2 linked regions of the Schizosaccharomyces pombe genome follow. The protein of the gene in region 1 purifies or fractionates together with the protein of each later gene. This does not show direct contact. Each region holds a gene or a part of one and is shown on either strand. Other genes may lie near its edges.

Region 1 (4,022 bases):
GCAGTTGATGCCATTCTCAAAACATGGTCATTTATTCGTTATATTTTTGTTTCTTCAAGTTCCACTCTTATAAATTGCAAAAAATTGGGGGAATGGAGTTGTTGGTTTAAGTAAACTTGTTGTACCAAATGGTGAAAAAGGATTTATACAGGTGACGCATATTGCTGCCCTCTGTCAAGTTTGAGTTTTCAACAACAATTTGTAAAAGTTGATCTAATCGAAAGAATAAAGTATCAATATATTGCCTCGTCTATATTTAACGATTTAGAAATAGCAACTTTTGAACTTTTCCGGGAAATTTTTTTTTGAATTTTAACCCAACAAGCTACTCAAATTACATCTCAATCAAATTTGAGCGATTGTAAACTTTAATTTTGATTTAATTGTGAATAAAGGAAAAAATTCTTTATACTACTTGTAAAACCTAGTGAAATTTTCTATTCATTTTACAGCGTTTGTCGAAAACCCACAAATAGGACATCAGCAGAGATAAAATTACATTTTGCCGAAAATACACTTATTATGGCCGCTGAACAGAGGAAAATCATAGAACAGTTGATGGGCAGTAATTTGAGTAACTTTACCTCTCGAGGCCTAGTACATTTCACTGATCGCAAAGTTTGCAGAAGCTTTTTATGTGGTATTTGTCCTCATGATATATTTACAAATACTAAAATGGATTTGGGGCCTTGTCCAAAGATCCACAGTGACAAGTTGAAGTCGGATTATGAACGGGCTAGTTATTCACATGACTATGGCTACGAGTGGGATTATCTGGAAGACCTAGAAAGACATGTTGATGACTGTAATAAGCGTATTGATATTGCTGAAGCTCGTAGAGAAAAAACAAAAGAGGAGGAAGAACGGATAGATGAGCTAATGCGAGATATAATACATACCGACCATTCAATTGAAGTTATTATTACAGAAATGGAGGCGCTTGCAAAAAGAAAATTAGTGAATGATGCAGTTAAACATTTTATTGAGCTTAATAGGTTGAAGACATACAGGAAAGAATTATATGATGAAGTGATTTCCATGAATGAAATTCCCAGTCAGGCTAGCACAACGCATCAAAAGCTACAAGTATGTGATATTTGTAGCGCTTATCTTTCAAGATTAGACAACGATCGTCGTTTAGCTGATCACTTCTCAGGAAAAATGCATCTTGGATATGCCATGCTGCGAAATATTGCTAGGGATCTTCGAGCTCAATTAGAGGACCGTGAAAAATCCCGTGATAAAAAGGACGGAGAGAAACAAAGAGATAATTTAGCTTCTTTTGAAGATAAAATCTCAACTTCCTTTGTTGCATAACCTACATTTCGTAATGAAAAAGTGGAGGATCTCAACTAACCGCCTTTATTCGCTTAGTGATGCCTTTTACGCAGACCTATATAGAATCTTATTATTATGTTTACCTTTTTACGTTTATGGTTGTTTCCTTACTTGCTTTTTTACAATATTCTTCATGTCATGCACAAAATAAGTGTACCTCTTATATTTTATATTCGTTTATTTCTAATCTCACAAGGTATATTGATATATGTATTTCAATTTGAATAACAGCTATAAGTATATCCTTAAAATAAAGCAGGAATAAACTCTTTGCCTTAATATTGTCGTACTAACCCAACCATCCTTACTTGTCCTTCAGCAACTGTTTGTTTTGGAGAATCTGAAATCGAAAGGAGTCAAACTATTTTACTAAATTAACTTTTTATTTTATTTTGTATAGATATCCTTGAAAATTCTGTGATTCGAAAGTCCAGTGGCAATGTAGAAGTATTAAACGTTTATCAACGGTTCTACCAAATCAGGGCCGATAAAAGAACTCTCGATTATAATTTACGTTTAATACAATCATATAGAATAAATAAAAACATAACATAGTACTTCCAACTGTAAATTGACTTGCGGCTTACATAGTGTTTTTTGGCATACTTGTGCAAACTACCGACTTCACAATTTACATGGCTCAAGCTTGTAAAACCACATACTCATCTCGTTTGAAAACGGGAAATACATGCTTAATCCAAAAAAATGTTGCAGTATCGACTAGGTCGCATTCTTCGTATACAGGCAGAAATTCGTTGAGAAATGTTCCAGCGGTTAATTACGCCGCATTCGAACAAGGTGAGGATTTTGAAACGCCAGTAGAAACTCCAGAAAAAGAAGAGGAAAAGTTCGAAACGGATGATCGGGGGCTGGCAGTTGGCAGACCAACCGGAAACAACATCTATCCAAGATTCGCGACTAAAACAAGACATATTTACGTTACAGACGAACAGCTTAAATGCGCTGCAGAAGAACGAGATGTATACATACCAATACGGCTGGATATTGAACTGCCCAACAATTATCGACTCAAGGACACGTTTTTATGGAACATGAACGAGCAAGTAATGACACCGGATGTGTTTGCTCAAATCTTGTGTGCCGATTTAGATTTATCTACGAATGTATATGGAACGCAAATTAGTTCCAGTATTCGTGCACAAATCGAAGAGTATGCACCGGTGGCTGAGGTGCCTATGCCAAAGGGGCAGGAAATGCTCGTTGTATTCAATATCCAAGTTCAACTTGCTCAGTTAAGCTACAATGATCAGGTGGAATGGAATTTAACGAGTCCTCTTACACCTGAGGAATTTAGTGTATTAACCTGCAACGATTTGGGGCTTTCTGGGGAATCTCGACCAGAAATTGCCTATGCAATCCATGAATGTCTTTTAAAGTTGAAAAAGAATGCATGTGAGGGTGATTTGCCAGATTACGACAGTGATGCAGTTCCTGGAACGAAGGCTGGACCTCGTCAGGACATGGATACTTTGGGTGCATTATGGCAACCAGTGCTGGAAACAGTTTCCCTTGAAGATGCCAAAAAGAATGAGAACAATCGAGAGAATTTGGTGAAACAATGGCGTCGTGAAGCTTCTAAGTTTGGAGGATTTGCGGCGGATGTTTCGGCAGAACGATGGCGAGCGGCAGCTCTGGGCAATCTTAGTCAAAGCGAGACAGCCAACTTGCCCAGTGCTTCAGTGTCGGATGCACAAACACTGTTGGAACAGGAACGACCCCGATGGAGATGTCGTTGGTGCAACGTGCTGGGCACAGGAACATTTTGTGTTCGAAGAGGACCCGAAGGAAACAAATCATTGTGCAATGCTTGTGGTGTTGCATATGCTAAAACAGGACAATTGCCATATTGGAGAAAATCTCTATACACTTAAAAGATGTTTTACTCTAATGGACTGATGTATTTGATGTTCATTAGTCGTGTTTTAAGGAGACGAATTTAATGGAGAAGGTCTGACTTTATGGTTCCTCTCAAGATTGTCAATATGATTAAGTCCACCTGTACAAAAGAATGGGTATAATACACAAGACATTTAGGCAATTGAGTTACATTAGGACCGCAAGAAAGCGTCAAATAGATAATTAAAATGATAATGAATTTTGGGTTTTCGACAGAAAACAAAAAAGCGAGCAAGAACGGATTTAAATGTTATAAAGTAATGGAAGAAAAATTGTAGTGACAAAGGTAGAATTATGCTCATGTGATGATGGGCCAACCTCTGACGATTATTAGTGACCAGAATTAATTTACTTAGCATGGGTTTACTAGTTGGTCAATTTTCTTGCATGAAATACAACGCAGAAATTGTAAATACTTTAAATAGACTTCATTTACCCTAGCTATAGATTATATAATAAGTCATAAAAGAAACGTCTCTTGGTCCAATCTGTAAAATACAGCTTTTGAAAGGCCAAGTACGACAGAGCATACCATGTCGTAGCATTTCATCGTTACATAGATTCATAAAAAAAAAACAAGAGAAAAAACAATAAGGAATCATAATAATACGTAAAAGCAACGTTTATTACTGCGAAGGAGCAGAGCAGTCATCACACCCAATGCCAAGTCCATAATGGGTACAGGCCAAAGCGCTTCGCAAGTAGAAAATAGATGGCTCGCTCGCTAACTTACATTTCGTCGACAGATGGAGGAGAGGTCTTATCGT
Region 2 (4,072 bases), on another chromosome or scaffold:
CTTCTGATTCCAGTAGCGTGCTTGGTTGTGATCCTGAAGGTTTCCCTACTACTGAATATATTGCGAACCATCCTAAAGCCTACCTAAATTATAATGCAACCAGTTGGTCAGAAGCAGGATATGTTCGCCCCAAAAACTCACTCATGGACGGATGTTGAAAAACTTCATTTTAATGTAAGGATTGCGAAATCCATATTAAGCGGCATTTTGTCTTCATTCTTTATTTCTTTTCATTTACTTTCATAGAGTTTCACATAAACCATTAGTTAGTCCCTTCTTTCTTTTCTCTCAGTTCTTTCATTTGTTGCATAATTTAACATACGACACAAAGGATTTACACAACGTTTGAGCTGACCTTACTTTCAAAATTTGATAACAACTGGTATATACTAGTACGTTAAAATTGTTGCCCTTAGAATGCTATAGCTCTCTAGTCAATCTATCAATCAGCCGAATGTTAAGAGATCAAGCTGAATAGCCCGAACTTGGGCCGCAAAAGTTGAGTAAACTAGATATGTCAAAGACATTAAGATAAGATAAAAAAAAAATTCATTTAAATAAAAGCCTAATAAATTTTTATCCGATAAGCATATTAGTTGAGATTATTAAGAAGGACTCATAGAAGAAGCTGGGATAACAGAAGTTTCAGCGGAGCTTTGAACTGGTAGACCATTTGCGGCAGTATCCTTCGATTGTAGTTGTTGCTCTATTTTTTTGCGGGCATTTTGACACTCTCGTTTCATATACAATTTTTCCCTATAAGTTGCCTGTGCAAAGGCATCTAATTCTTGGGATTTAAGACGAATGTGCTGATCAAGATAATCAAAATGAGATAACTTGGATTCAATTAGCTTAATTTGCACGTTAACAGAATCCTTTATAATAGAAGCCATTTTCTTTTCTTCATTAGTTAGATATAACTCTGATAGACTATCAGAGTCCTCCAATGATTTACCATTCATCTCGACATCATAACTTTCTGACTCTGGTTTGGGATAAACCGATTCACCTTTAACTTTATCCGACTCCTCCTCTTTTGCGCTGCTTTTCTGTGTGAAAGAAGAAGGTGGTACCATTTTGGCTAAGAAAGAGACTACGGATAAAATAGGGTTCTTCCCCTGCAAAGAATCAACCACAGGATTGGTATGCACTTTGTCCATTTTAAATAAAGCTTTGTCGGAAGAAGGAAGATTAAGGAATTTCAAAATACACTCTTCAACACTTTTTGTGTTCACATGAGAAGCAACCTTTGCCCAGTCGTCACTATACATTTCCACTCCCTCTGACAAAAGAACAAGTTCTTGTGCAGTCCATGTATCATCATCTTCAATTTTATTTTGTATTGCGACCTCCTTATAATCAGCAATTGTGGTCGGTGAAGGAAACCGATTTTGTTGGTAGCAACTTATACAAACGTTATATTTTTGGGCCGTTTGAGATTGGTAGTAACTTTCATTAAATTTATTACCGCAACAGTAACAATGCTGTGGAGAATCTGACTGATCAATGTTGTTTTCATGAAGGTTCGAAAGGCTTGGTTTTTGATTCGGAGTTGAACCCTTACCTTTTAAGACATCGTCGAGAGAGGGATCATAAATATTTGTTCGGACAATCGAAGGATCTTCAATGGTAACAGCTTTGGAACGAGGAATTGAAGAAGAGGGAGGTGGAAGAAGTGGTACCAATCCACGAGGAGTATCAGCAAGGATTTGGAAATGACTTGTGGAAGGGGGACCTATTTTCGAAGGCCGAGTATCGGGGTTAACGTTATAGTTGATTAATCCCCATTGCTCTAGAAATCTATGGACACGCAAGACAGCACATACATCACCAGCCAAATTCCTTCGGCAAGCCGTGAAAGTCAAATAAACTTTGGAGTTCAATCGAAAAGTACTAATCATAAAATCTCGGTATTCCTTATATACCTCTGGTGTTTTCGACGTATTTTTTCCATCAAAGAACTCAGGGTTTTGTTTTTTCTCAATTTCGTGAACTTTAGAGAAATCAAACCATTGCGCCCACTCAGGGACTTCTACTTGTGGTAACTGGCTCAACAAAAATTCTTTGGCCTCGTCTCTGACTTCTGGTTCAGTGTCCTCCTTTTTAGAAACATCCAATTCCATTGGCTGAGCAGAATCTGGTACCCCGTTTTCGTGTAAGTCATGTTTATTTTCAGTAACGTTGGACATTGTGGTGTTAGAGTCTAGTATAATATTTACAAAATCCTCAACGCCAAGGGCTTTAAAAGCTTCACGTCAATAAAATGCACTTAATCAACGAAAAATAATATGTATTACCCTATATGATTGAGGGATACCTTGAAAATTCAAGTTTTTTTAAAATGCCCTGCAATTAGTAGGTAGTGGGAGTTGACTTAGAATGACGATGTCTGGTTAACGAAATATACAGCAAACGCACTATACACTAAAGAATTGAGAAAATATTCAATATGGAAAGTAAAATTTATTGATATGAAGTTAAATATCATATGATATGATGACAATTTATACCATGAATATTAGTGAACTTGTAATTATAATCACTCCTATGTGATCAGCCAACTATAGTAAGAATGCACTCCTTGTGTCATGAGGAAATGCTATACTAGCTTTAAAAGGAGAAAAGCAAGCTAAGAATCTAGTAATTTCGCTCAAATGTGTTATAAATTGAGATTAAAAGAATAAGGGAATTATCAAACCACCTACCAGGAGTGGTACATAAATTAAAACGCTTCATATAAATGGGTTAAGCAAGAATTGTGTGTCAATAAGAGTAAATATTCATTGACTGACAAACTTGCCGTAATTAAAATGCGTAACAATAAGAAACACAAAAGAATTTAGTGTCCTCATTTAGTATATACTGATTATATATGTATACGTTTGGGCATAAAATGAGAACGCCAAGGTTTCTTGGAAAACACATTTAGAATCTCAAAGAACCTTTCTCCGAAAACATAGACGAAATAAATTGTATAAGGAGAATTGATAACGTAAAGATATGCACTATTTTTTTTTAAAGTAAGTAATAGTGGCTGAGTGACTGGATTCATCAACGGTACAACAATTAATTTTTATTCAGAGACTTCTTCGACGGTAGGATTTCTGTGCCTTAAATTCTTTAAAGAAGTGGTGGACGTAGAAGACTTTTCAGGAGTTGCAGAAGCAGCTGGTGAAGTGGCTTTTTTTGACAATTTCTTGGATTTCCTTGTCTTCTTTACCTCAGATTTGGAATTGTGCCAACTCCATAAAGGTTTAAAGCTATCACAGAAGCCAACGTCGGCAAGAAGATTGGGGAATAGCCAAATGCCAGGGCGCACGATGACAGCAGTAATGCAAAATAAGAAAAAACGTAAAATAACCAAAACAAAGAATAGACCGATTACTCCAAGGCCTCCCATACTTAAATACCAAGCACCCTTGCGCATAAACATTGGCCACAAGGGGAACAAAACGAGTGCCAATACGACAAGAGCGAACAGTACTGCCAAAGCCATAACGCGTTTTGGAAGAGGCTCGTAGAGCCAAACATAATGCATATCGTCTTGAAAATCTTGATTACGATTTATCTGTAATTCTACAAGCTTCTGCTTTCTTTGTTTAGGGGGGAGTTTATCAACGCGAACCAGCATCGAATTCATAATGAGCAATTTGAGAACTTCGATTGCTTCCTCACGGCTTGAAATTTCTGGAAACCCTTTGTATTTCTTAGGCGTATACGCTTCGGATGTTAAAAAGCGAAGAACACGCTTCACACGAAAGTAGTATACACGTTTTCCATTGAGGATCGCTGGCTTTGTTTTCAGCTCAGGGCGAGACTTGAGGAAGTTTGTAAAGCGCATCGAAAACTTGCACTTGTCTTCATCCTTCAAAACTGGTACATTAGAAGAATCCATAGGCAAAATCCTTGTTTGGAAAAATCTAAAATAATGTGGTTCTGGAGTAGATGAAGTCTGTACACGTCTTTAAGGTAACGATATTTAGGTCACGAGGTAAAGCCAAAATCAAAATTCAGTATTATAGATTTGGGAAAATCTATATTATAAATTTTACATTTAGTTTAATCATTGTTA

What was found. The genes of interacting proteins can lie anywhere in the genome.
Region 2: the proteins of sfh1 (region 1) and ssr1 purify together in Schizosaccharomyces pombe (affinity purification with mass spectrometry, with the first as the bait; one study listed by BioGRID). This does not show direct contact.

What each region holds. Positions count from the first base shown.
Region 1 is NC_003421.2:892,198-896,219, forward strand, and holds sfh1 (RSC complex subunit Sfh1), read left to right. Parts: upstream 1-1,955; 5' UTR 1,956-1,973; coding exon 1,974-3,230; 3' UTR 3,231-3,482; downstream 3,483-4,022. Other genes in the region: ubiquitin hydrolase Ubp1, read right to left, coding at 1-14; U1 snRNP-associated protein Luc7, read left to right, coding at 523-1,317; SPOM_SPCC16A11.15C (uncharacterized protein), read right to left, coding at 3,985-4,022.
Region 2 is NC_003424.3:3,603,915-3,607,986, reverse strand, and holds ssr1 (SWI/SNF and RSC complex subunit Ssr1), read right to left. Parts: upstream 2,206-4,072; 5' UTR 2,190-2,205; coding exon 606-2,189; 3' UTR 533-605; downstream 1-532. Other genes in the region: ghs2 (glucosidase), read left to right, coding at 1-158; translocation subcomplex subunit Sec62, read right to left, coding at 3,074-3,895.